Linked DNA regions of Rhinolophus ferrumequinum. The protein of the gene in region 4 interacts with the protein of the main gene of each other region in a biochemical or structural test. Links are inferred from orthologs where the notes say so. Each region holds a gene or a part of one and is shown on either strand. Other genes may lie near its edges. The genes, in order: JAM3, CLDN7, CLDN8 and TJP1.

Region 1 (7,174 bases), on a different chromosome or scaffold from region 4:
TCTAACAGCTGCTAGTTGAATGTACTAAATCCATAGCTTCTTCAGTTACATTATGTGGCCATCTCAGAAATACAAATAATACAAAAATAATACAAATCTGTTTTTTTAACAAAAGAACTGATTTAAGCCTACTCCATTGGCCTGCCTTAAGAGCAAGTTGCACAGAGCTTAGGGATTGGGTGTATTATTTTGTCTGGATGTAATACAGCAATTTCTTATGATTAAGTATCTCTAATAGCTATCCATTCAGTCTCCCTAGTCTAAAGCATTCACGAACAAATGCCTATCAACAACTCATCTGGGAATGAACAGCTGATTTGAGGCACTGCGTGCTTCAGGGCAGGTGTTCCTTGTTTTACTGAAAATACGCAGCTCTGGTCATGATTATATCTATCAGATAGTTTAAAAGAAAACAACATAAAAGAATAAGTCACAAAAACAAAAAAGTTTCAAGAGACAAAACAAATGCAAATGGAAAACTTAAAATATTTTTCAGAAATGTCCTGAAATTTTTGATTTTCAGATTTTGTTAGGCTTCAGCACATTTTGTTATCCCAAGAATACAAACTGTTACTGTTTTTTTAATTCTAAATGAAGCACTTCTTTCTAGGACATCAAAAGATTTGAAAGTCCAACAGTAATTACTACATAATCATTCATAAAAGACATGATGTGGCATAACATTTGTAAAGTTGAATTGCACCTGTCATCAACTCAACAAAAGAATATTTTATATACAAACCACACAGCTTTGAATATTTGATAATTTGATTAAACTGATCCATAAGAACTCCACTGTCAAATTGAGTAATACAAGTAACCAAAACTTGGATTAAAACACATGGTTGAAGATTTCCAAATAAATCACCCTGAGCAAGTTACTGAATCTTTCTGTACTTCTGTTTCTTCGTCCACAAAATGGGAAAAACAATAGTAACGACCTCTTAGAGTAATATCAAATGAATTAATACATGTTAAATTCTTATAATAGAGCCTGGCAAAGGGTAACTGATAAAGAATGTTTGTATTATACTGGAAACCAAAAATATTTAAATGAGAATACTGAAAAACAATAACAATTAAAAAGAGTAATCATAAAAATAAAAAAAGACACAGCTGTCATGACCCGTAGAATAATAAAGTTTCAAGCTATTACAGTATATTTGGGGTGTAAACTAATGGAAAAAGAGTCCCCTACTTTTTAAAAAACATAGTTACATCCTTTCAAGGTGAATTAATACATCCTACCACCTTGATTCTTTGTCACTGGTCCTATTTTGCAAAATGTGATTCTTCCTCCTTAGTTTCAAGAAAGCCACAAAGCAAGCCCCTCCAGGAGAGCAAAATAAGAGGTTATGGGTATGTGAAGTCCTTAGCATATTCTAGTTTTATTAACAAACCACCAAGTTGAAACTCATTCCTGAACTAAACTGCCAAATGTTCCTGCAATAAAAACTGCAAACTTTCATGTGAACAGACCTCTTCAACAATAGGGAGTTGTTCCAGTCTGTGAATAGGACAGTGTCAGTGTGACCAACAAAGCCGGGAGCTGGACATTCCTGACACCCTCGTCCCCTTGGCTAGTCTTTGACCACTTATATCAGTCAACCACATGTTTTTGGAAATCATTTTCAGGCAGAGTATGTAGACAACATCTATACCCTGAAACTTATTATTCATCACAGAGCCGTTTCCACAGCTTCTGTCCCGGGCCCTCAGCTTTACTGCCACCATCATGGACACTCTGGTGAATGAGCAGGAGCGTTCAGTTTCCCTGGTCCTTCCACCCCCCACTCCAAACAGTCACTTCGTGTTTTAATTGGTATATTCTGGAAAACATCAAGGGATGACAATGGCAAATAAGCCAAACAATAAAATAACCTGAAAAATGGGGGGAAAAAAAGACCTGATTTGGTGACACGCAGATCGCCAATAGGGAAGGAAAAGTGTGGTGCAGTGCTTTAGGTCAGCATGCGTTTGAGTCTTCACTACTTATCTGGAATGCACCCTTGGAAAAGAGACTGGACTTAGGTCTTAGTTTTCTTATCTGAAAATGGGTTAATAAAACCCACATCACAAAGTTGCTGTAAGGACTTAAATAAAATAATGATTTCAAAGTGTCCATCCAGTATACAGTATGTGCTCACTTAACAGAAACTATTTTAACCCTTCTATCCAACTGTCCCGGGACACACGAATCTAATGAGAATTCCGGACAGTGGAAAAGACAAATCAAAACTCCCAATTGTATCATGTTCTGATCAAAATGGCCCAGATGCTATTTCCAGGGTAAGTATGGGTCTGCAGGATCTACTAGGCCGCGCTGGAGACAAATTCAAAAAGTACTTGACTGAGATCTGTGCCATTTTATTTTTCCTCGAAAGTAAAGCTCAGTTTGCCCAATTCAGTCCCTTTGTTTACAACAAGGAACAAATGAACAGCAGATCCCCAGAGGGTTGTCACAAAGATGCCAGACAGGCCTCGGAACTGAACCTCGTTGGTCCTTCGAAAGGCCTTTCACTGTCCACTTCTGGGCACAGCGCTCGCTCCACAGTGTCTTCAAGCAAGTTCCCGAGTCCACGCCAGAGCTGGCACTGTCTTTTCAGAAGGCGGTGCCCACCGCCCGGGTCGAACTCATCGCCCGCAGCGAAACTGCCCGAAACTCCGAAGGGCCCCCCAACTTGCTCGGACCCCGCCGGGAGGCCGGGATCCGACTCCTCTCCGGGGGACGCGGGCGCCCGCCGCTCCTCCCGACGAGCCCCGGGAGCCCCAGGGGCCGGGACCGCTATTCCCGCCTATACGAGTTCCATCTGCTTCGGGCCCGCTCTGCTCCCATCGCCCCCAGATCATACTCTCCAAAAGGTAGAAACTCGCATACTCACCCCTGAAAAGCAGCAGCAGGACGAAGTCGGGCAGCCGGGCGCAGAGCCGGAGTCCCCACCGCCGCTTCAGCGCCATGTCGAGGGGAGCTGAGGGGCCGCGGAGCAGCGGCACAGCCAGGATTCCCGCGCGCATGCGCGCAGCCTGCCGGGACCCTGCTACCCGCCCCTAGTTACCATGGCAACCACCTGGCCCGGCAGAGCCGTCACCCTGGTGACAAAAGAAGCTGATACGGTTACTATGGATACAGGGATGCCTTGGACCCAGGCCCACCGAGTGGGTCTCTTTCAATGAATTCGGTGGGAGAAGGTAAAGAAGCATGTTTAAGAGTGAAGTGGGGTAAATTTCCATAGCTATAAAATGAATATGTCACTACAGACCAGAGAAGGACGCTTAATTAAAATTTGGAAAATAAAGTGTTTCTTATTTTACAAATGACGATGCAGCCCAGTTATTTTGGAAGCATTATTGTCTGCACCTCTTTTGAGACCCCGATACCAAATGTGATGGAAGGAAAAAGCACTGAAATCTATATAAAACATGAGAAACACACACATTATGCAGTACATAAAAGTGACATCTTTCTAAAACAAAATTTATTTCCGTGATAGGTCAAAAGCATGATGGTATACCCAATAGTTTATTCTGCATAAAATTAGGCTAATTAGTTGATCTGGTAAAGCTAGTGTTGTGCAGGGGACACTGCTCAATGTGCCATTTGTCGTGCAAGGCAGCCTGCGGGGTCTAGCTCCTGCTCCCCACAAAAGAATGCAGGATATGGCTAGGCCAAAAAGGAACACCCATGGAACCATAGATAGGGGAGTCATACCACTATCGTCTCACTGGCAGCACTATAGTCTCACTGGAGGCTGGAGCCACACGACCTCCAACCTGCTGTCCACTTCTCTGTCTGCCAACCAACCGACTGACTAACCAACGCAGCCGTGGCAGTTATATCAGTGGCTAATTGTCTAACTGGTTACAGCTGACGGTCAATTAGCCACAGCTGATGGCCATCTACTACCCGGGTCAGCACCTTTCCACATGAGGCCGAGAGCCTGGAAACTGCTCTCTGAGACTCTGTCCCCACACTCCACACCTACAGGGTCTCGCCTCACAATTTACATGGCAAGCATCTTCCGCGAGGGTCCCTGTGTCATATTAGCCTACAGGCACCTATGGATGGAAAGAAACAGTAGTCTTAGGAACCAACAATGGCAAATCCCTTCCATCTGGGAGGATACATGCTAGCTTTTTGTCCTGGGAAAGGAGGGTCACTACCACTGGCACCTTTCCCAGTTTGTGGTACCAGACCTTTATGACAGTGCTTGGGGTCCCTTGGTAGTTTCAACATGTAACAGAACAGGAGACCCCATAATAGGCCATAGTGAGAACACATAGGTTCCCTGCAAAATCATCCTGGTATCGGGACCTCCATATACTACAGTCACTTGCGGTAGCCACTCAGCCACCACCCCTGTCGTCACTTGCAAATCATGAGTCAAACCAGCCCACCATGGGGCCATCAGGCCCAACCACCCACCGACAGCGGGGGCTTTTGACCTGCCAGGGTCAAGTCCATTGCTGCCGTTCCCCTGCTTTCAAGCATGTGGGGGCTGGCAGCAAAATGTTTCCATTTCTGCCATAGCCTGGCTTTAACAGAGTCTCACTTGTGGTAACTTGTAGTTGAATGGGAGCAGCCGTTCGATGTAGCAGAGCTTCTACTGGTGCGGGCCCTCCCTTCCGTGGTCTTTCATTCAGGATTCTCAAGACATCCCATAGATGCGAGGCCCAGTCGCACATTGTAGGAGGGTGTTTTGACACCCGGAGGCCTTGCTTCAAAAGGCCGTTGTAGTGTTCAATGATGCCAGCTGCTTGTGGGTTATGCGGGGTATAAAACAACCATTGTACGTCCATCCTGGCAGCCCAGCGCTGCACTTCTTGTCCCATAAAATGGGTACCCCTGTCACTTTCAGTGACTTGGGTGCACCCATAGAGGGCGCACAGCTGTGTAAGAGCGACCACTGTATGCCGCTGATCTGCAGCTGGACACGGCCAAGCAAACATCAACCCCGTAGCAGTGTCCACTGCTGTGAATGCATACATAGCATTGCGGGCCTTAGGTAGGGGTCCAATGTAATCCACTTGCCAGCGAGTGAGGGTCACCCTCCCTCGCGTAATCTGCTGTGTCTCCCAGGGGAGCCTCCGCCTTTGGGGGCTGTCCTGGGCACAGATGGCACAATCATAGCAGGCATCTGCTATCTCTGCTATCTCCTGTCATTTCAAAGGCAGACCCCAGCATCTGCTCACCTGCCACATGGTTCAGCTTGCGGCGTGCTGCAATTTCCTATGCAGCCAATGGGCCACATCAGTGGCAGGAGCCCGTTCTAACCATCAGACCCGTGCTAGGGCATCTGCTTCATCATTACCTGGGGACACTAAGGGGGAGTGACCTGTGACATGCATTAGGGTCACCTCCTTTCTCTGCCCTAGGTCCCAGAGGTCCTGCCATATGGCTTGACCCCACAGTGGACGGTGTCCTACCAACCAGTTTTGCTGTTTTCATGTGGGGAACCACAACGTTGGGCCCCGGAACACCGCCCAGCTGTCAGTGCAAATAACTAGGGGCCCAGATTCATGGCTGATTACCATCCACACAGCCCGTAATTCAGCCCACTGGCTACTCTGGCCCATCCCAGTATCAAACCAAATGGTGTCTGTTTTGGGCTGCACACCATCAGCCGTCCAAACGGCTGCAGCTCCTCAGCTAGAACCATCGGCAAACCAGGCATCTTCAGGTACTGGGGGAGTCCTTCTTTGTAGGTCGAGGGCTACAAGTCCTCCTCCCTAGGCAGAGCGCTTGGCTCAGCCTGGGCTACAAGCTCCACAGGCCCTAGGACCTGCTGTAGCTCTGTCCTCAAAGGGCTGGACTAAGGGTGCTACGTTGCTCCAAGTAGGCACCCCACTTGGCGAGGGTGGTGGTCTGTGCCATCCCCGTTTTGGGTCCCTGGGTCCACATACGGACCCACTCCAGGGCGGGATAGGTTGTTCGAACCAACACGCATGCCATTCCTGTGATGGCTTCTCTGGCCATTAGGGGCAGCCAGCTCTTTCTCTATTAGAGAGTAGCGGACTTCCCGCTCCTTTCCAAAATAGGGACAAAAATCCCACTGGCAACTGGAGATGCTCCTGCCATTACCAGAGGCCCCAACCGTGCCCCTCTTGAGTTACATGAACATCAAGTTCAAATGGGCAGCCAGGGTCTACTATTTGCAGGGCCTGTACCTGCTGCACGGCCCATTTCGTGGCAACAAAGCCTTGCTCTATAGCTTATGTCCAATCCCATGAGGCCCCTTTTTTTATCATGTTATACAAGGGCCTTGCCATTTGTGCTAAATGGAGTACAGACACCCTCCAATATCCCAGCAGACCTGCAGTTGGGAGACCTTAGTCGGCCGGGAAGAGGCTTGTATTTTGTCAATAATCGCCTCAGGCATGACCTTTGTCTTACCCAACCATACAACACCCAAAAACTTGACGGATAAGCCAGGGCCTTGGACCTTTTTCTCATTCACCACCCAGCCACGTGACTTCAGGTGGTGGAGAAGAGAGAGAGCTGCTTGCTCTAAATCTGAAAGAGAATCAGATGTTAATAAAATGTCATCAACATAGTGAAACAAGGCCACAGAGGACAGGTGATCCCACTGTGCCAAATCCTGGGCTACGAGCCCGTGGCAGATAGTGGGGCTATGCAAGTATCCCTGTGGATGGACTTGAAAAGTCCACTGCCGCCCGTCCCAAGTAAAAGAAAACTGCTCTTGACACTCGGGTGCAATGTCAATGGAGATAAAAGCATTGGCCAAGTCCAGTACATAATGATATGTTCCCAGGCAGACAGTCAGACAATCCATCAAATTGTGTACTGAAGGTACTGCCGCATGCAAATGTGGTGTCACCTTATTTAACTCCCGATAGTCCACAGTCATTCGCCAAGTCCCATCTGGCTTCTTGACAGGCCATATTGGGGAGTTAAAGGGACTGTGTGTTGGCTTCACAATATGTGACTTCTCCAATTCCAATATTGTACGACCAATCTCCTCCTGCCCTCCTGGCAGGCGGTACTGTCGCACTGTAACCACGCGCCAGGGCTGTGGCAACACTTGAGGATGGTGAGTATGCCCGTGTGTCACCGCTTTCACCACCCGGATCCGGAGACGGAATTCTCCTACCGACATCTGTAAGCTGAGGCCATGTAGCATGTCCACCCCTAAAATATACTGCGGACTGGGGGAGA
Region 2 (7,639 bases), on a different chromosome or scaffold from region 4:
TGAGATTTGACCAGCCTGTAATTGGAGGGGGAGTGTGTAGGCCTTGGGCCCATAACCATCCTTCCATTATTCCCTCTAGTCTTACCCTGTGCCTCCCCCACCTTTGTTCCGTGTGTCTATGGAAGCCCTGCCCTATGACCCATGAGTCAGGGAGTAGATCCATTCATGACAGAAAGTGGGGTGGGGGCAGAGGGGAAGATGAGAGACTAGGAAACCCCTCCTCCAAGCCTAATAAAGTCTTTTTTTATTATTATTAAAAAAGAAACTCTGGTAGCCATTTAAGCAAGAATTGGGAGTGGAAGGGACTGGAGGAAACCAAACACCTGAGTCTTTTAGAGTCAATAGTCAAAGTGTTGGGACCTGAATGACAATGAAATGGTGGAACAGGGATAGCTGAAATAGGCATACTTTAGGCTCCAGGCTTCTTGTAGGATCTGGGTAGGGAGAAAGGAGAGGCCCTGAAGGAGAAAAAAAAGCCTTTTTTCCAAAACATACTTTTTATTACTGTACAAAAAGCACACCCACCCCTTTTTGTCTCCCTCACCCAACCCCCCAGGGAACTGTACATGGTGTGCAGGACTGGAGTGACCAAAGGCTTCTGCTCCGCACCCTGCCCACAGGCTGGGCTCTGCCCCAGGGCCCTTCAGGTGTTGGGGCACACCCATGGGCTACCAGGCAGGGGCAAGGGGATCTCAGCTCACACATACTCCTTGGCAGAGTTGGGCTTAGGGTAGGAGCGGGGTGCACGGTACCCAGCTTTACTGTCGTTCCCAGGACAGGAGCAAGAGAGTAGTGCACCTCCCAGGAGGGCCAGAGCAGACCCTGCCCAGCCAATGAAAATGGCAGGACCAAACTCATACCTGTGGAGAGAGGGGATTGGGGTCAGAAACCCTGGCCTGCCTCTCCCAGCCCCAGGACCCCTTAGGAGGCAGGGCTCCCATACTCACTTAATGTTCATGGGGACCAAAGGGTTATAAAAGTCTGTGACGATCTTGTGGCCATACCAGGAGCAAGCTATCAAGGCAGCCAGACCTGGAGAGAGAATGAGGATTCAGATATTATGAGCCCCCAAACCAGCACCTTGCCCACCATCATTCCTCCAGGATGGGAGACAGGAGAGCCCTTGAGCCCATCTTGGACCTGTGACTTACCTGCCACGATGAAAATGATGCCTCCAGTCATGGCTATACGGGCCTTCTTCACTTTGTCGTCTCCTCCACAGCGTGTACACTTCATGCCTATCGTGGCCACGAACATGGCCAGGAAGCCGAGCACCAGGGATACCACCATTAGAGCTCGAGTGGCCTGAATGGCCGCTGCAGGGAAGGGGCAAGGACGCCGTCATCGCTAGGAGTGCAGGCGGCTCTCGGACCGTTCGAGCCTTCGAACCGCCCACAGTGCCCACTAACCAATGGCCGCTGGACCCCGTCGCCAGCCTGGGGGCCTCTCGGTGTCCAAGTCCCGGGCGGAAGTAGAGTGGATCCCGTACCCTCCCGACGCCGCGGCCTTCCAGCTCCGCCCCGCCCTCTCTTCTCTAGTACCCGCCCGGGGCGCCCAGGTTTCGATGAAACTGCCCCGAGTAGGGGGAAGGGTGAAAGGGGACAGCTAATAGGACCGGAGGCAACGGCCTCTCCGGAGACCTCGCGCGGACCAAAGATGACGGCCCGCGTCCTAGTTCTGACCCCACTATCGAGGCCATTGGTTTTGTGGCTTCGGCTAATCGGCCGATAAGATTAGAGGCCGCAGGCGGCGGCCCAAGTCTGACGGAGCGTACGGCTCTTCCGCCCTCGGCCCGACCCTGCGGCCTCGGCCCTGCGCCACCCTTTGTCGGAGAGAAAAGGGCGGGAGCGGCGGAGGCCGTTGCCTGCCCAGGGCGGTGAGGGAGGGAGGACCCCGGCCCAGGACCTGGCCTCTACGAGAGAAGTTGGGGCGGAAGAGGGGCACCCGACCGGGGGGGTGGGGGGGTGGCGGGCCCACGTGCAGCCGCCGGAACCCCAGTCCGCTCTGGCCGGCACCACGGCCCCATCCCCACGGCTTCCGCTCCCTCCTCTCTCCAGCGACTCCCAGGCAACCAAGGGCGTCGGTCAGCGGGGCCTGACCGACACCCCACCCCTTGACCTCGGCCCTGGGCGCGTCCGCCCCGTCGGTCCCGCGGTCTTACCCGGCAGGGCGAGCACCGAGTCGTACATCTTGCAGCTCATCATGCCGGTGCTCTGCGTGACGCAGTCCATCCACAGACCCTTGTACATGGCCTGGGCCGTGATGATGTTGTCGCCCGCGTACGAGCTCATCTGCCACTGCGGGATGGCTGTGCACGCCACCAGGCCCACCCAGCCCATCAGGGCCATGGAAAAGCCCAGCAGTTGCAGGCCCGAATTGGCCATTTCCGCCCTCAGAAAAGACCGGGGGCGCCGGGCGGGCGCCTCTGCAGTAAAACAAACAAACCTTGAAGGGCAACCCCACAAAAGACAAGTTGGAGTTATAAGTCGCCCGAAAAGTCAAAAAAATTTTGATCCAGTGACTGCAAATATCTGATCACCCGAAGTAAACACAAATCGCCCCTCTGGCGGTGCAAAGGTCTCAGTAGAGGGAACAGGTTACGACCGGAGAACTGCTGGTCAACAAAGGCGATCTGCGAAGGCCAGGTGTTTCCTACTGGTGCTCTCCGCGACCCTACCCAAACAAAAGGTGGAGGGGCCGTACAGGCGCGGTCCTGGGTGCTGGAAGTCTCCAAAGTACCCGGGGCTGTCGGCCGGAGGCTGCTGTGTGAGAGAGGCGGTGCGAGGGAGAGGTTGTGCCAGAAACCTCAGCCGTGAGCCGGCAGGTGCGAGCGGACAGGTGCGGCGCACCTGAGTATATGTAGGGCGTCGGGGGCGCGTCCCCGCGGGCACCCGGAGCGCGGGGGGGGGGCGGGACCGGAGGGGCTGCCGAGAGTGACCTGACGTCACCGAAGGGACACTTACCTAGGCCGGAAGTCCCGGCCCCCACCCCTCCTTGCCCAGGTAATGAGGAAGAAACCTGAGCACCAGGGTCACGCCCCTTCACTTGCCCGGCTTTGACCGCAGGTGGGGAGGAGGCGGAAGCTTCTTGGAAGTCCCACGCTCAAAGTCGGCTCCTCTGAACCGGACTTCGCTCGGGCACCAGGATGCCCCTTCCCCACTCCCCAACAGATGCGCCAGCGACGCTGCGGAGCCAGAGTGTAGAGGACGACCCCGGCCAGTCTTTGCTCTGCCTTTCCTCCCCGAAGGGACCCTAGGCTTCTACTCCAGGCGCTCTTTGTTCCGCCCTACTTTTCCCCCACCTTCTGCTCTTTCTTCTCCTTTTCCTTCAGTCTCGGATCCTAGTGGATCCCACCTTCAGGGGCCCTGGCTCCAAGCCCTCAGAACTCCCAGAGGCACCTCTCCAGCATGCCCCCGCCCCTGGCCGCTGTCCTTCGCTCTTCTACCCTGCTCTCCAACAGACACCCGGCTTCCATGCATGGGCCCCATCTTCTTGGCCCCGCATTCTAATCCCAGACATGACAATGCCTGGACTCTTTGCACCCCACTTCCCGGTGGTCACTAACCCCTCCCGCATCAAGGGTCATTGTAACAAGGGAAAAACCACCATGACCAGACGCCAGCTGAGAGTGGGGAGAAGGGTAACACCTCCGTCTGAGTCTTGGCCACACGCCTCACTCCCTCCCTGGAGCCTTTCCAAATTTGTCCTTCACCTTCCCCTCTTCTCCGCTCCCCCCCATCCATGCTAGCATTTCTTTCTTTCATTCTGAGCCACGACCTGCCTATTTGTGTGAGCTCTTCCATCCTCTCCCGTTCTGCCACATTAGAACCAATATGTGGTTCTAATGTGACCTTTGATTCAGCCCTCAGATTCAGCTCCCAGCTCACCCTTAGGTTTCTTCTCTCGTTCTTCCCAAACTATTGCCCCATCTTTCCTCTGGATATCTCTTCCCAACATCCCCATTCACTCATTCCTCCCTCATCTTTTATCATGGCCCCCTTCCTGCCTTTTCCACTTCCTATTTCACTCCCCTTTCTTTTAGTCAACCTTTGTACCCTATCCGCAGCCCTCCTGGAGTCCAGCACCACCAGTTAGTCTTTCTTTGCATCTCCCTGCCCAGATGTCTCCCAGTCTAACTCCTCTCTCACCTCACAACTCTCGGACTGGCACACCTTTATTACTTTGTCTCTCTCATTTCATTCCTCTCTGTTTCTTTTACCTCATCTCTTGCATTTCCCATCTTCGTTCCTCCCTCTCAAATATTTCTTTGTAGATCTTTCCCTCTTTTAGTTAATAAACATATTAAAGAGCCCCTCATACCAAGCTAATTAGTCTGCTTTTCTATAAAATGCAGACTTTAATGTCTTTTATTCATTTTTATTTTTCTACTTTTTGATTAATGGTGCTTTTTAAAGGTATTTTCCAGCTCTAAAATTCCATGTTTCTCATTACTTAAGTATATCTAATTTTTCTCCAAGCTCACTGCCACCGCCTCAGGCCAAGCCAACAACACCTCTTGCCTAGACACTGCAACTACCTCCAAACCAATCCCCCAGCTTCCCTGCTTGTCCTTCTAATATTCAGTTTCTGATAACGGACTTTTTTTTAAACAAACAGATCTTGTCATTTCCTATGAAAATCCTTAATATTTTCCAATGGCACTCTTTTCCTTCTCTTGCTCCACTAGATTTGGCAAATGCCATACCATGGGTTACTATACTCTGTACTTCAGCCACACCGGCGTTCTCTGTTTCTGAAACGAACTACATTACTTCCCACCAAAGTGTCTTTGCACACTCTGTTTTCTATGCCTGGATGCTCTCCATTTACCCTCTGCCCACCTTCCTCTACCCAGCTGACTCATCCTTCAGCTATCAGCTCAACTATCACTTCTCTTAGAAAGCCTGGCCTGACTACCCCACCCCAGACTGACTGAGTCAGATCACCTGCTGAATGCTCTCACCGCTACTTTACTTTCAAAGCCCTTATCGTAGTTTGAAACTGTTTACTTTGTGTGGTTATTTATTCAATATCGGTCTCCCACTGCCCTATAAGTTCCAAGAGGGCAGAAATGTGTCTGGGTTTTAATCACAAATAAATATTTGATGAATGAATGAATGAATTTGCAAATTAACAATGTTTTCATTTACTTGTTCAACAAATATTTTCTGAGTACCTATATAATGTAGTAGTTTGTCACTGGGGATACAGCTGTAAACAAGACAGATAAAGACACTGGACTCATGTAACAGATTCTAGAAAGAGGAAGCAGATAATAAAGACATAAATGAAATGGTGCATGTTTTGAATGCAATAAAACAGGGTAATGTGATGAGGTTGGGCCCATTTTAGAGTGAAGTCAGGGAGACCTTTCTAGGAAGCGACTATTAAATAGTGAAAGAACAATGTTATAGCCAGAGGAAACAGCAAGTGCTAAGACCCTGTGTCAATTGTTCCTTTGAAACTTGTAGTATTAATTTAAAGCAGGATCTCTTAACCTCACACTATTGAATTTGGGGCCAGATAATTCTTTCATATGGGTGATGGTCCTGTGCATTATAGGATATTTAGCATCCTTGACTTTTACTGATTGGCTACCAGTAGAACACTCCCTAGAACCTTCCCCTGAACCCCAGTGTGACAATCAAAAAAAAACAAAAAACAGTTGAGTGCAAGAAGCAAGCAGATGGATGGTTGGAATTAACCAGAGTTGGTTACTAAAAAGAAAGAGAAGGGACTTAAGGTATCTGCTTAAGAGTGTTATATGTGTCAAATCATGGATATAAATTGGATAAGGAGAGTAAACATAAAAAAATGTTGGTGGATAGTGAAAAACTGATAAGGTCAATGGTTTAGAGGTCTCCATGAAATGAAAGGAATACATGAGTGAATGAGCTAGAAGATTAGGAGGTGATCATCAGACGTGGGAGGCTTGAGTTCAATACATTGGAAGCAACTGTTTTTGGAGATGACAAAGCCTAGAGATGGGCTGTAGAGAAACATCACTGGAGATGAGATTGAGGGCTGAGGCTACAATTAGATGGAGTACCCTGATGGATTTTGAAGTTGACAACCATGATGACAGGCACATAGGTGTAAAGAAGAAGAGGATGAGCCAGGTGCTAATGTTATCAGTGAATGTGGGCTGGATGTTACCAGTGAATGAATAGGCTGGAAGACCCTGGTAACAATTAGAGGTGGTGAGTGATACACTTCTAGACGTGAATTGCAAAGGAGCAGAGAATTTTGAAGTATGAAGGAAAATAATGATCTAGAAGCAGCAATACAATTGGGGAGCAATACTCCCAGCTCCAGACTCTGAGGTATAAGAAATGAGAGCTGGGGGTGGCCAGTTAGCTCAGTTGGTTAGAGTGTAGTGCTAATAACACCAAGGTTGCGGTTCGATCCCCACATGGGCCACTGTGAGCTGCGCCCTCCTCAACTAGATTGAAACAACTACATGATTTGGAGCTGATGGGTCCTGGAAAAACACACTTAAATAAATAAAAGTTAAAAAGAAAAAAGAAAGAACTGGGATTTTTTTAAAAAAGAAAAGAAAATGAGACTTGCAGTAATCCTCTGTTATGAGGGCTGCCAGGGAAGTGTGTTCTCCAAGACAGCCAGGTTTCAGTTAAATTCTAGGAAGAAAACATTCAGAGAAGAGTCTGTGCCTTTAAGGATGATGACAGACATTGAGTCCAAAGGTCATAGGGGAAGAATTTGAAAGATCAAGTCTGGGTGGAAGATTGGGTCAGATTAGGGGATATACACCATAGCATGGAGATGACAGGCAATATAATGATGTAATCAACTTGGTATGGGAACCCAACCAACTTGTTTGTTTCTATGGGAAAGTGTGATAAACAAATAAATGAACTTTGGAAACTTGCAATATTATTTTAATTGTGCAATATTACTCAAAAACTATTATTATACTGATCACTGGTTATTATTTTACTGGTCAGACCAAAAAGTTACAGCCTCAAAGCAAATAAAATATCCCAAGTTCTAATTCCACCTCATATAGAAATTTATTCTTGGGCCTCACTTGTCTCATCTGTAAAATACGAGTGATAATATTTTGCCTGCTTAGGAAGACAGGAAGGCCAGATGATCACCTATGGTTCAGCCTGGAGTGCATATTTGAGATACAGATCTGGAGAAGGAGTGGGAAAGCGACCAGCTCATTTTATGAAGCTAGGGTAATCTTACCTCTGAAAACAGTTAAAGATAGTACGAGAAAAATATTAGAGGACAATTTCATCTATAAATATGTATACATACAAAAATTCTTAGTAGAGTATTACTTAACCAAAAGTAAAAGTGTATTTAAAGAGTACTACATCACAAACAAGGAGTTTATCCCAGGGATGCAAGTGTTCCGATATTAGAAAATTCATCAATGTAATTTACCACATTAATAGACTAAAGAAAAAAATTATATGGTTACCTCAATCAGTAATTTTAAAAAGCATTCGATAAGGTTAAACACTGACTTATGATAAGAACTTCTAGCAAACAAAGATTAGAAAGGAAATTCTTATGTTTAATGAAAAAATTTTAGACTCATCTCTTTTATGATGGGGGAAAGTACAAAGATGTTCACTGTTACCCCTTTTGCTTGGCAAAGTCCTGGAGG
Region 3 (7,456 bases), on a different chromosome or scaffold from region 4:
GAGTTTCCTTCTCCAAGCTGCTCAGTTAGTTCTCTTTTTTCTGTTCTCATGAATGATTTGACCCCAGAAGGAAAAATTGCCTAGGACAAATTAGCACTTAGCTACAGGAAAATCACCAATCCCAGAAAAAAACACTAATATGTTCCCAACTAACAGTAGCTATGCATGTCATTTCCTTATGCAAAAATCAATTTATAAACCAGACAGTGTTGAAGAAAGTCTACTTTTTCTGAAGAGAAAGAACGTGAGCTATGAAGTCAGAAAGTCCTTATTTTTTGTCCTGACTCTACTGGGTAATCAATGAGCTGTTCCGAGATGCTCTCATCTGTGAATTGAACTAATATCAGTCTCATAAAAGATTTAATGACATAATGCATATAAAACAGTAGAGGTCCTAGCACATAATACATGCCCCACAAACATTCAACATTCTTATTAATTGATATTCCTTCTCAAAGATAGAACTGTATTTAGTGATGGAAAGTTTTTACAGAGATGACTATTACATACATATTTATAGTATATAGATTTGAGACCTATGGTATTATGTTAACAAATTACAAATACATTATCTGCATCAAAAGTTAGTGTATGAATTCAATGATTATAAGGTATAGAATTGTTAAGTGACATAAGGTATTTTATTTTCTCAAAAAGTAATGCCACATCTACCTTTATCTTTCAAATGTGGCCTTGATATTCTTTTCAAAATTAGGTATCCCAAAATATCAGGTTTTCAAAAACTCTTTACAAGTTAATAATAATAAAAAAAGGAGAATAGTGGAAAAATAATATCAAATTACTATAAAAGAAAAATTTATTGATACAAAGGACATAAAGCTGATAACATACATAGTCACTTAAACTGGAAAAATGTAGATAATAAACTTTCAAATGGGATGATCAAGTGTATCAAATTTGGGGGAAACACAAACATATTGTATTTCTATACCTTAGTAAAACTGAACAAAAATGGAATAAGAAATTTATCTTGACAACTGAAAAGACAAGTTTGACTTAGGAATCCACATAGGAGAAGATGGAGTTCATAAAGCACAACTTGTTTTTATTTTTTGGACAGCAAAAAACATAATACATTACTTTTCTGTCCAATATAATACATTACTTATTTATATTGATAAAATCCCGAAGTCTTTAAGTAGTTATTAAAATATTCACACACATATAGGATTTCTTGTCAAAATGTATCTTTCTCCAACCACAAAAATTGAAGAGGAAAAATATTTTTCACTTTCCTGAAGTCTTTCATGTTTACATAGATCGCAGTTTTCTCTTTCCTCTTAGCACACCTCTGGAAAGCTGATTGAATGCAAAGCTCCTTAACAAAATATCTGCCTTTTAAAAGATGTTAATTTAATATACAAGAAAAAGAAAGCCTCTAGGGGAAAAGCATAAAGAAGCTAGGAAAACAGGATATCAGAAAGCCATTTAGTTTCCTTTATACAGTTGATTAAAGCCTTCTCTTTAACCTTCATTATAAATCAAGTGCATTAATTGCTAAGCTGGTTTTAAACAATTAATATTAACCGTCCTCACTCTTATCCCCGAGTTCCCCGAAAAGCAATAGTTGAATTCTGTTTATTCAGTGTAATGAATCAGTATTTCATTTAAAATAGAACCATATAAGCCTGTCTCTATTTATGTGAGATATAAACGTCACTCTCATCTACATACAGAATGCTATGTCATAGAGAAATCACAGTTGTAAAATAATAGTCATTAACAATGTCATTTTGAAGTAACTGATAAAAGGGAAAGATGTATGAACCATTTTAGAAAACTGACTGCACTTCCTAAAACCATCAGAGCACTGTGTATCTCATTATTCTGCTGAAATAGCTTATAGAATCATAAATAGCTGATGCACAGTTCCTGTAATTAATGTTCTGCAGTTAAGAACGGCAAGTCAACGTTCCTTTGGGTTCCATTTTTAGAAAATAGTGGATATTTTAGTCATTTGCATGGCTTTATAGGTAAAGTTAAAACATATACACAACTACACATACTGACTTTTGGAGTACACACTTGGTGACTTCTTTTCCATGTGATAGCTCTTTGGGGTTGTGCGATGAGAAGGTACGGAGTATCTATAGCTACTGCTCTTTTCATTGCCACAAGAAGCACAGCAGAATATTGCCCCTCCAGCCAACAGCACCAGTGCCGTGATCCAGCCTAGGTAGAGGGCTTCTCCAAGCTCACGTTTTTGGCCGTTATCCACTATTGGGTTGTAGAAGTCTCTGATGATGGAATTGGCAACCCAGCTCACAGGGATGAGCACCACCAGGCTGGTGATAACGAACATGATTCCAGCAGTGAGCAGGATATGACCCTTCGCCTTGTTGTCGTCCCCAGTGCATCTGGTGCATTTCATGCCCAGGATGGCCGTCATGAAAGCCAGGAAGGACAGCAAGGAAGCAGCACACATGAGTCCTCTGGATGCCTGTAAGTCCGGAGAGAGAGCCAGCAGGGAATCATAAATTTTGCACTGCATTCTGATGTTAGCTTGCCTTATGCAATTCATCCACAGTCCTTCCCAGATGTTTTCAAAGACCACAATGTTGCTTCCAATGAAGGCAGACACTCTCCATTGAGGCATGATGGTGACAGCCACTGTGCCCACCATGCCAGCACCACCAAGCACCAGCGCAGCGTATTGCAGAGCAGAGGTAGCCATTATCCTCTGCTATGGGTTTGACCGACTGGACTCCTGAGGTAGTAGGGCTGCTCTGAAGCAAGGTGCTCTGTGTCCCAGGAGAGAAGAGCTTTCCTCTAGCAATGAACTCAGAACCCAGTGGTTTTTCAAATAAGAACAGCTTTGCTACTTCCAGCTAGATTAAATCCAGTGTTGGCTGGCTGAGCCCCCCTCCCTGTTCCCCCCACATTAACAGGTAAACTTACAAATCAGGTGGGGCAAGTTTCTTGGCCAATAAGAGGGGGATGGTAACCAGGTGTGTCTAAACCGACAAGAGATACTTGGAACGGCTGGACTGGCACATAAACATTCTTTGTACTTCTCAGTGTTCTAAGAAGACAGCAGTATGTTTACCTATAGGCATAATTAGGAATGTTTGCACAATCATCAAAAAATGCACCAATCCCTTGTCACATGAAAAGGTACACCGTGTACAGGCAATTCTGTAACTGAGTAAGAGCTGCTGTGACAAAGGTATAAAATAAAATGTCAGCCTAAGAAATTGGCTAGGACTTGTCAACATGCCAGAGTGAAAGAAGAGTAGGGGATTGATAGATTTCTCATACCTGGGGAACCACATTCTTTGGGACACATGGGATCCAAGAGGGTGATTTAATTTGCCTACAACTTCAAAGCAGGCTCTGCTGGGATAAAATCAGGGAACAGACCATGCTGAAGGATGAAATGAGGCTCAAGTAATTAAATACATAAGTTGTCCCTTCATGGCACCAAGCACATATCGTTTTCTTTTGAGCCAGGAAAACGACCTATTGGAATTTGAACCTTGATTTACAAGGGGGAAAAAAAAAACACTGTATAAGAAAAAAATACCTATTGGAATTTGAATCCTGATTTATGAGGAAAAAAAATTGTAAAGACAACCAAAAAAAGAATCTATTTGATCTTATGTAGCAAACACTGCAATAGCAATTAAATGATGAAGTGATTTACAGATCGCTGGTTTATTGTTGCTTTATGTTTGCTGCTCTGTCCTATTGGACTGAAGCAACTAGAAACCTGCAGATGATACCAGTCCTGGATCCATACAAATGGCTGATATTTCTAAACAAAATTTTTATAAGACGAGGTCACTATAATGATTGAACGAAACGTGTCTTCAATACCATGTCTGCAAAAGGAATTAGAAGCCCCTGAATGTAGGGCAGTTTGAACTGTTCCTTCTCAAAATAATGATGATTTAACAGTCACTAAAATAAACATACATGTTGATATGAGAAAAATCCGCCAGCGATGATCTCGTGAAGATCACCTTGAGCTCTCTGTCATGTCTTTCCAAGCTTCAAGCTGTACTTTAATGCTTTTCCTGTTTGTATCATAAAAAAATATAATTTCTTTACAATTTTACTTCTCTGCTTCCTCGTACTACCTTAAATGTGAGTACGGGAGAAAGTGTTTCCCCCTCACTTATTAAACTTTGAAAGTGTAATGGTCCAAAAAATCTGAGTATTTTACAGAGATTATGGAAACAAAAATGGTGGTAGGGAGCGGAAGAGGAAGATGCCAAAATCAACTGTCTTCTAAAAACATAAAAAAGGAATATATAGTCGTTTAAGTTGTTATTATTTTATTTTAGTAGACTGGACATGTTGAAAGTAAGAAAGGAAAATTTAAAGCTTGATATTTACAGTAATTTTCTCATTTGTTGACCTGTTAAGGACTAATTTGCAGTGTGTCCCTTATGCTGACAGAAAGTATCTAGCATTTTCTCCTTCAGGCTTTGAGATGCAGAGGGAGATAGGTTAATCTTGGGAAAACTCACCTACAACCCACAAAAGGAAAGTTGAAATCAAATCAGCAGATTTTTTTTTTCAATCTTTCATTTTCAGTCTAGGAAAGGGGCATGATGGACAGAATTGGAAAATGAAAAAGAAATTATATAATTATTGATATAATGACAGACCAGAAAAAAAATTTTTTTTTGGTAATCAAATCAAAATTTATTTTCTAAATTTGTGTGTGATGTATTTTTTAGACACCGTGTTTTAAATTGCTAAACATCCAGATAAAAATGGAAAAACTTGAGGTAAATAGGTATCTATATATTTGAGAGCCTGGGAGTGCCTCCCGTGTATGCAGTGATGTATCTGTTTGCTTTTCATGCTACTAAACCTTTCTTCCCTTAAGCACTGAGCTGTACTAGGAACTTATTTCACGCAAAAATATTTTCCTCATTTCAAAAATATTAGTACTTTCCTACTGGAATTGCCCAGCCAAAAGATTAGGATCGGAATGTAAAAAAACAACCCTAAGCTTACAATAAATAATTATCGAGCTAACTGCGCTAGCAGAAACTAACCCAGAGCATCCAGGTATGTTTCTTATTACACAGTGATCCAATTAATCCCATGATAATTTGAAATAATTGTGCCCTAAAGGTCAAGGAAAATGAGAAAGACAGGGGAAAATGGTAATAATAAGTTCACTAGGGACCAAGAGACTTAAACTCCAAGATTAAAAAGTAAAATGAACTGTTTGTCTACTTTTCGATAATATTCTGTCCTACTGAGATGATTAACTTGCCTGCAAAAGTCAGATAGTAGTCATTAGAGAATTTCAGATTAATAACATTTTTGCTGTTCTTTAATTCAGAACTACAAGGCAACCTATACACAGTAGTCTATAATCTGTACATCCACTTCTATGGAAGAACTAAAATATTATCAAGGACCAAGGAAGAAAAGCATGCTCATGTTGACCCACTGTGTTCCCTCTCTGGAGATCTCCCTTTTGTCAACATTATCAGAAGCATGATTTAAGTTTAGCAATTAAATTCAGTCCTGATAACTACATGACACCTGCAAATGTTTTCTCTTTATAAACGATAACACACAATCTCGCTGTCAGACTGCCCTTGTTGTCATTCTTATTTTTACAGCAATTAATCCTTAACCAACAACTCTTTAGTCTGGGGTTCCTATTAATTCTCATCACTCCTTGAAATAATCTTTGCTTCTGCCAATCAAACAATAGTCGCCAGTTTCTATTGTTTTCTGGATTTATTTTTTTCTGTTGTGTTGACAGTTTTCAACCTTATTTATTTTTATTTATTTTTCACTGTCAATTAACTGTATTTGTTTGACCACCTTGTCCAGAGAAAACAGATAAACATATCAATAGATCTCTTTGTTTGTTGTTCCCAAAATAATACTGCGCATCGCTACACGTTCTTGAAATATTGTCCTATTTGTCCGTTGTGCTGACTAGCTGCTCATGTTATCTGTTCCCAAAGGTCTGTATCCATGACCATTAGTAGCCCTCCATATTCACCACCTCATATTTATATTTAATTGCTCTGTTTAAAAATGAACTTCTCCCTGTATAGTAATTGTCTAGCATCTTAGTCAGCTTGAACAACATACTATAGACTGGGTGGCTTAAACAACAGAAATTAGTTTTTCCTAGTTCTGGAGGCTGAAAAGTCTGCGATCAGGGGACCAGATGGTGGAGTTCTGGTGAAAGCGCTCTTCCTTTTCCACAGGGAGCTGTGGCCGTCTTCTTGCTATACCCTCACATGGCAGAGAGGGAGAGGGAGAGAGTTCTATTCTCTTTCTGTTCTTATAAGGACACGAATGCCTTTATGAGGGCTCCACCCTCACAACCTTATCTAAAGTTAATCATCTCCCAGAGGTTCTCCCTCCAAATACCATCACATTGAAAGTTAGGGTTTCGACATATGAATTTGGGAAGACACAACCTGCATCCATAACATCAGCTACTAACTAATCTGCTCAATTAATTTCTCATAATTCTAAAGGGTCTATTCTTATTGTTTCAAGAGTTTCTTCCAGGATCAAAAAGGAGGTGGGGGCTGGGGCAAACCTAAGTAAAGAAAATAGACAATGAGAATAATGATTATTGAAAGGCTTTTATCTTTCTTCTACTTTTCATTGCATTTTTAAAAATTGAAATCTGAGTTGTGGTGAACTCTGACATATTTTGGGAGGCAGGTTCATTGAGTATGGTATATTGGATATCCCCACTAAAGGACTGGAAATACGAGGAAAAGAAGTTTTCATTGAACTATATCCTGGAGGACTTTTTTCTCTAAATTAATAAGTAATTTCTATGGACAAAATTGATAGGAATCAACCTAAATTTAATGCTTTGGGAAAAATTTTTAAAGGAGCTGGAATTTGCTGGTAATAACAATGTCTACTGATTAGTAAATGTTTCTGTGCCACTGGTTCCTTACACGCACATTACACCTTAAATTTAAAACATCCAGAGAAGACCCTTTTTATAATTGAATAAATTAAAACTCAATAGCGAGGGTGCTTTTTCTAAGGCCATACAGCTATTGTTTGCTGGATTCACAGAAATGGAACACAGATTTGTATCTAAAACCCTTGTTCTCTCCTGTATTGTCTACTACGTCCCAAAGAAAGCTGGAGAAAGGGAATTTCTCATGTTGACACATATATTCAAAGTTAATGAAGAAACAGAATTTGTTCAGCACAGTTTTGTTTTCTTCGCTAGCACATTGTTGAAAACTATTTGTGTGGTCAAGCGTTATGACTTTTTAAAAAAATATCTGAGTCACTGATATTTGAAATGCATATTTTTAGATTCTTTATTCAGAGAACTTTCCACTGGAATAACCACATCACAATGATTCTTTATTTAGAGTTTCAGAGAGTAGTCAATCTGATGTCACTATTGGCATACCTTTCTTGTCAATCTCCCATTCTTGTCTTCATGTTGATAGTTTGTTAATTATAGACT
Region 4 (7,098 bases):
AACAGGCTTAGTACCAGGCTCTTAACCAGCACTGATTCAGAACCTGACACTGCAAATGCTCCAGCATTCAAAATTTCTTGGAGAAGACACAAGAGGCTTCCTGCAGGCCCCACAGACGTGGGTCTGGCGGGGGTGGGGAGATGGGTGTTTGCTTCAGTTTCCCCCAAAACTGGTCTGCAACAGAATACTCCTTAAAGGATTTGTGGAGCCATTCAGAAAGACAGAAAGATTTCGCACAAAAGGAAGCTGATGAGCAGAAGTGGCCAAACTGGACGGAAGTGTGGGGTCAAAGCATTGCTTCGTTCAACCCCACCTGGACTCACTGGCGTAAGATTTGCAAGCGTGCAGTATTTACACACAGACTGTGACCATTTAGAGAAAGAAGCACAGAGCGCGTACACCTTTTCATCACCGTTATCATAACCATCTTCATATACGCCACAGCCAATTATCATCACACGCCCTCACATCTTGTCAACGGGCATAAGCTGGTGCGTTCCAAAGTGTGACAGGCATTGCCTGGTGCCCATCCGTCACCCTGGAGTCAGAACCCCTATCTTTCTATCTTTTCGCCATTCAACAGTGCCTTCCATCTCAAATGCCCCCACGTGCAGTTGGCTACGACACTGGCGAAATGAAATGTTATCCAGAAAAACAATTCCAGAGGACGTAAGACATAGATCATTCCGCTCCATGTCGCGGCAGCACGGTACTCTCCAGCTAAAAACAAACGACTGGACATCTCTGTTTAAAAGTCCCGCCCACACCAGAGTTTTTGTAGAGGACGCTCTTCCCTTTGCCACTGTGGAAACCAGATTCACATTTGCAAACAGAATGGATATTCTGAAATGCTCCTTTAAAATGGTGGGAAAGTTCAACCAACTGCTCAGGCCCTTCCCAGGCTGTCTCTTCTTAGGAAGATGAATTTTTAACCCTGGCCCCAGTTCACCGTCTGCCTCAGATGTGAATCTCTAGAGTGCAAAAGTTACCTGGATTGTATTTCCCGGTGTTCTCTCTTCACAAACTCTGTATTGGGGAATGCCTTTTGAGAAGCAGCATGCTGATGATGAAAAAGAATAAAACCTAGTAACTGACGGACTTTGTGATCAATTCCTGCATATACCTGAAGGCTCCTCAAAAGTAAGTCCCACATCTTAGTTTGTAAATTTGACATCAAGAAAACGGATTTCCTTATCTTTCTTTCCCAGTTAGGTATCATTAAGAATTCATGTACTCAACATAGCTGCTGAGAACTATTCCGTAGCAGGTAGTGCAGGGGACTGAGTAATGAATTAAATACACAAAAGCCCTGCCCCCATACAACTTACATTCTAGTGTGGGGAGAGGTGATATATATGAAAATTAAGTCCGATATGTAGTATTAGATATTGATAAGTGCTCTGGAGAAAAGCAGGCTGGGGGTACTACTGTTAGTGCTGACTTTTTTTTCCCTATCCACCGTCAATCTGAAAAGTCATCTTCAAATGTCACTACTTCTGGCTTCACAATGATGACATATTCTTCATATATTTGCTAACATCTTCTTCCATGGACATTTCTTAATTCAGTTACTGCCAACTTTTACCAGTCTAGTCTTCGATGTGGTCACTTGCTGTCCATCAAATTATATTGCCTTTTGCAGAATAAATGTCTTTGTTTAAACAAATGGGGAGGCAGGGAGGAGGACTCTGGTAGTCACTAAGCACCCATTACTCAGCCAGGCACCGGGGCATGCACTTTGTATCCACTCTCTCCGTTCATCTGTGACCCCAGGAGGCAGATAAATAGCACTGTGCTCATTTTACAGAGGAAGAAACAGATACTCCCGTTCACTTGCTTAAGGTCACACAGTAAGTGCCAAGTTGAAATTGGAACTTCGCAGCCCATATTCTTTTGGTCTTACCTCCAAAATTCTCCACTGTTGGGATTCTTTTTTCCTTTAACTCCTCTTTTTCTTGACTGCTCAATCTTGATAGTCCTTGGATAATTCTTTCATTTTTGTCTTATACAGCAGAAATTACTTTTCTCAAACGCCTAAAAGCAGCCTCACTGCCTTCTCCATCACCTTAAAATTAAATTAGACTACCGTTCAATTGAATTGAATGAAACCTCTACGAACTACATTGGCCCTCAATTTTAAAATGGAAACGATCGTTGAATATCAAGATTCCTGGCCTCCTTTTCCCATGGTCACCATCGCTTTACCTGACTATTCCTTTTGTGATAGAACCTTACACCTAAGTCTCCAGTCGAGGGAAGCCTGGGAAGCCACTGGGATTCCATATGACACACTTAGATGCTAATAATATGCAATACAATTGGGCAGAAAATCAACTGTGTGAACCAGCTCTGGGTAAGTCCTGGACATTTTCCTTTAAGGGCATCCTTTTCCCGTTCCCCCAGTAACAGTTTCCAGGGCGGGGGACCCGGAGCCCATGCAGGTGAAATACAGTCCCGATGCCATTGTAACGTCGTAACGCGCCCCTCGCCGTGGGCGCGGCCCGTCCTTCACTGTGCACCCGCGGCAGGAGGGGCCTGGGGGACAACGGGAAACGCGCACGGTGCTCAGAAATGGCTCGCCGTCCCCGCGAAAGCCCGGGGCGGGCGCCCGGCTCCCCGCGGCCCCTCCCTCCCTCCATCCCTCCAGGGAGCGCGCAGCTCGCTCGCTCTGCGTGTCCCCGGGCACAGCCGGGGGTCGCGGCGACGCTCGGCCCCGGGCCCCGACATGGCTGCGGCGCCCCGCGATCTCCGCGCCCGGCGCCCCGGCCCGGCCCCCGGCGCGCCCGCGCCCGCCGCTCCCTCACCACAGCTTCCGCTTGAGCGGCAGGAGGCTGCCGCGGTTGGAGGGGGTGACGCCGATGGCCATCTGCAGCACCGTCAGGTATTTCTGGTACTTCATCTTGTCCCCGCTCCGCTCGCGGGCAGGGCCCCGCCGCCGCCGCCGCCGCCGCAGGCACAGCCTCTCCAAGCGCCGCATAGATCAGCTCTGGGCCATGCGCTCCCGCCGCCGCCGCCGTGCGTGGCCCGGGCTCCCGCTCCCGCCGCCGCCGCCGTGCGTGCCGGCCGCTCCCGCCGCCGCCGCCGCCGTGCGTGGCCCGCCGCTCCCGCCGCCCGCACCGCCCCCTCCATCCCCGCCAGCCGCGGCCCCCGCGGGGCGCACCCGGCGGGCGGCGCAGCCGCCCGACTTTCCCGGCGCCCAATCCCGCGGCGGGCAGGCCGGGCCGCTCCGCCCACCCACCCCCTCGCGCCGCCCGGCCCCGCCGACCTCAGTTTCCTCCCCGGTGACGGGAGCGCATTGACGGGATCCGCTTATACCAGGATCGCAACCACAGGTTTCCAGAGCAGAAAAAAATAATTTTTTACATTTATAATTACCACTGAATGGTTCCTAACCATCATTTGTTTTCTAGCCTAATGTGTTTGGAGATGATGTGTATATAAAATGCATTCTGGTGTGCACACATAATATATAATGTGTGTATATGCGTGTATACATTCATACACATATACACACATGCATACACATATACACATACACACATACACATACACACATATACACATACACATATACACATACGTATACATATACACATATATACCCACATGTATACACACATACACATGTATGTACACACATATATACACGTGTGTGTACATATCTATGATATATAGAGTGCCAAAAAATGTGTACACAATTTAAGAAAGGAAAACTTATTAAAATTGTAATGCTCAATATATACCGATAACAAAAGATGAATACAAGGCACGTTTGACTTCTGCAATGACAAGAGGTGCTCAAAGTGGTTCCCATCAGCGTCCAGACACTTCGGATGATGGTGAACTACCACTTAAGCAACGTTGCCAAAGTGTCCCCTTATATACATTTTTTGGCACCCCTGGTATATATATATCATATATATGTGTGTGTGTATATATATACATATATATAAATATATATGTGTGTGTGTGTGATGCAGTCCTCATTTGCACAGTAGTTTGGGACTGTGGAAATGACCACGAACCATGCAAATAATCAATGGGGAAAAATAAGATTGTTCCGTGACCTTCAAAAAATTTTGTCAAAACATTCCAAACTTTCTTCATTGATGGTTATAAATGTATAGGGAAATGAAAAACATTGTAAAACTAATCACTGAATACAATGTAATTTAAAACATTGAGAATTCAAGTGTTTCATTTCTTTGTAAGGAAAACTTGTCAAGAGTAACTGGAACAGTGTGTGTTTTCTCCTGGTAGAATTGTTACATCTCCAGATAGCATCCTTTCTGTGCCTTGGCAAAGCAAAGTTTGGATCACTGTCAACATTTAACCCCTGCTCTTTCACTATTGTGAATTGTGATGTCTTCTGGGACTCCCTCATCATTTTTGTCACAACCACTTTCCTCACTCAAGTTCACATTCAGTCAGTTCCTCTGACTGCATGTCCACTCTCTGGAAACGTCATGGTAATGTCAACGTTCCCAGTTGCCAATTTTTTTAATAACTCCAATTACATTTCATTCCAATTTCACTGCATTTCCATCTTTATCATTTTTTGTTTGTTTGTTTCTTTGCTGCACTTTCCACCTTTGGTGGCCAGTTTCCTCTTTTAGTTACCTATATAAAAATACAGTGTTTTGTGGGTTTATCCCAGAGAGAGAAAGAGGCAGCACAACTGCACACTTTGCTATCAGTGCCTAAACTAAATAACAGATGCTCAGAGACGAATCACGGACCGGCTTTGAAAGAACTGCTGTGATTGGCCACTGGTCATGATGTGCATGTTATTTATGTAGTGATTTATGGACTAAAGAGCTAGCAGCATGTTCGTACTATATGCATTTGTACTGTATGCATTTACTTACAGGTAATGCCATGATAACTGCAATTTAAATCACATTGTTGGGCAACAGTTATTATTTAACTAAACCATGGTAGCGTACCATCAGGCCTATCTGAACCTGTAAAGCAAAGCCTAATTTTTTATACAGTATCTCCCTTATCTATGGGGGATGTGTTTCAAGACCCCCAGTGGATGCCTGAAATCCCAGATAGTACCAAATCCTATATATACGGGTTTTTTTCTCTACATACCTACCTATGATAAGGTTTAATTTATAAAATTAGGCAATTCCACGGATAGAAGATTCGTTCTTACTATAGATCTTAGCAACCTCAGACTGAAAAGGAGAAATCAGGAAGGCCTGTGTCTTGAGTTGAGATGCTAAGCTTTCTTCTCCCACCCACTTCCAGAATGCTGGCAACCCCAGGCAAGACATTTATATGTCCTCCCTGTGGACCATCAACATTTTTGGTTAACTCCACATATTTATTTATTGTGACTATTTAAACATTGTTTGATACTGACACTAGTGTTGTACCACGATTACACTTTCTCCTACAACTTTTTCTTTTACCTGGAGTTAATTGCCTTATTTTTCAACTTGTTTAATTTTATTAATATCCATGGCTAAGTGTCCTTATGTCTGCAACAATAATGTGAAATGCCTTGCAATATAGTTTCCCATGGACTCAGACTACACACGATCCATCAGTTTCCATTTTTTCCTGGACCCGCCCTCCAGGAGCCCTCCATCCTGCTGCCTCTATTCTAGGCTCACGTTGTCTGAGTATTCTCATTTCTCTCCTATGTTGGGGCCCCTGTATTCTGGACCGCCTAGCTTCTTTCTTGGCTTACTTCCTTGTTTTGATGGATAATCTTTTCTAATAATAAGAATACATGAGACCTAGAGATTATAAGACCTTGCATATCTGAAAAGTCATGATTTTGCCATCATCTTGATTTATTGCTTCTTGAGTATGGAAGTCTAGGTTGCAACTCATTTGACTCAATTTCTAGGTCACTGCTCCTTTGTCTTCTAGTTTCCAAGGTTGCCAATGAGAAACCCAGTGCCCTCTGTGTCCTGAGAGCATTGTTTGCTTGTTGGCGTCCCCCACTCTGGAAGCTTTCAGATCTTCTATTCATCGCCACTGTTCTAACGTCTCACGATGACAAATTGTTATGAAAATGGGAATGTCATGTAGTAGAAGGACGCAGAGGTTCTGGGGAGCCGTGCACGTACCCTTTTCACTTCCTGCATTGGTGGATTTGATGAGAGGCAGGGCCATGAATTCTGGCTCTTGTCAGTTCCAATGTTACATTGTTCAGCTCCCACTGACTGGAAGTAACAGCTGTCATGTTGCTTTAATAGTTTCCTTCCACTAACCTGAGATGAGGAATTTCTTCGCTGGGAAGGCTCTTTGGCAAAACTGATGACATTCTTCAGTTTTGGCCTTTAGTGGTTCTTACATTTGGCTGAATTATGTAAAAAATAGAAAGAAGGAATTATCAGTTATAATTTTCTCCCTCTCAAGGAAACGTACTATTTTCTTCTCTTCTATAGATTGTGATCACTTGTTTTCAAGTTTGCTTAGTTTAAAACCTGCACACCTGACCTTCTTCAGGAAGCTCTCCTAAGACGACGTCTTGTCACCCCGTCCTCTGATCCTTTTCAATTTTTATCTTGCATTACTATTGTAGGTGGTAGACAGTGGCTTGTCTGATCCAGTTTCTTACATACAGTAGCTACTTAGTAAATGTTTGCCTTATGAGTGAACCGATCTTCGATTTATTATGTAATAAACATCCAGAATTTTAGGATGTGTCAATGAGAAATGATGTTGGTGCCGTATCAAGAGCCTGTTATAATGGCTTAATGAAACGATATTTTTTTCCTCTCATGTAGGAAAAAAAGGCGTTCGTCTGCCAGTCTGGGGTTGGTAAGGTGGTTCCACAAAGTCATGAGAGGTCCAGGCACTTTTTAATTTCCGCTCTGCATTCTTTAGCATGTTGTTTCCATCATCAGGGTCACAGCATGGCTGCCAGAGCTCTAGCCAGCTTGTCCACATTTTAGGAAAATAGAAAGGGCAAGACCAAGGGGCCAACAGGCTCCTCTCTCATCCAAGTCAGCCCCCTTTAAAGAGTCTCAGGAAACACCAACCAGAGTTCTACTTAAAGTCACTGACGACCCGCTTCACTGCAAGGAGGCTGGTAAGACAAATTTTTTTTTTTTAGCTTAGCACACTGTGTCTCTG

The links.
Region 1: the proteins of TJP1 (region 4) and JAM3 form a complex in vitro, tested with the Homo sapiens proteins (2 studies listed by BioGRID and IntAct, with this or other methods). The link is inferred for Rhinolophus ferrumequinum from reciprocal best matches to the Homo sapiens genes TJP1 and JAM3.
Region 2: the proteins of TJP1 (region 4) and CLDN7 form a complex in vitro, tested with the Homo sapiens proteins (2 studies listed by BioGRID and IntAct, with this or other methods). The link is inferred for Rhinolophus ferrumequinum from reciprocal best matches to the Homo sapiens genes TJP1 and CLDN7.
Region 3: the proteins of TJP1 (region 4) and CLDN8 form a complex in vitro, tested with the Homo sapiens proteins (2 studies listed by BioGRID and IntAct, with this or other methods). The link is inferred for Rhinolophus ferrumequinum from reciprocal best matches to the Homo sapiens genes TJP1 and CLDN8.

The regions. Positions count from the first base shown.
Region 1 is NC_046308.1:34,592,017-34,599,190, reverse strand, and holds the start of JAM3 (junctional adhesion molecule C), read right to left. Parts: upstream 3,013-7,174; 5' UTR 2,959-3,012; coding exon 2,883-2,958; intron 1-2,882. UniProt on the Homo sapiens protein: Junctional adhesion protein that mediates heterotypic cell-cell interactions with its cognate receptor JAM2 to regulate different cellular processes. Plays a role in homing and mobilization of hematopoietic stem and progenitor cells within the bone marrow.
Region 2 is NC_046304.1:11,570,650-11,578,288, reverse strand, and holds CLDN7 (claudin-7), read right to left. Parts: upstream 2,864-7,639; 5' UTR 2,385-2,863; coding exon 2,162-2,384; intron 1,317-2,161; coding exon 1,152-1,316; intron 1,033-1,151; coding exon 948-1,032; intron 861-947; coding exon 698-860; 3' UTR 501-697; downstream 1-500. UniProt on the Homo sapiens protein: Plays a major role in tight junction-specific obliteration of the intercellular space.
Region 3 is NC_046285.1:96,770,985-96,778,440, forward strand, and holds the start of CLDN8 (claudin-8), read right to left. Parts: upstream 2,890-7,456; 5' UTR 2,696-2,889; coding exon 2,018-2,695; 3' UTR 1-2,017.
Region 4 is NC_046311.1:13,164,343-13,171,440, reverse strand, and holds the start of TJP1 (tight junction protein ZO-1), read right to left. Parts: upstream 3,017-7,098; 5' UTR 2,978-3,016; coding exon 2,805-2,977; intron 1-2,804. UniProt on the Homo sapiens protein: TJP1, TJP2, and TJP3 are closely related scaffolding proteins that link tight junction (TJ) transmembrane proteins such as claudins, junctional adhesion molecules, and occludin to the actin cytoskeleton.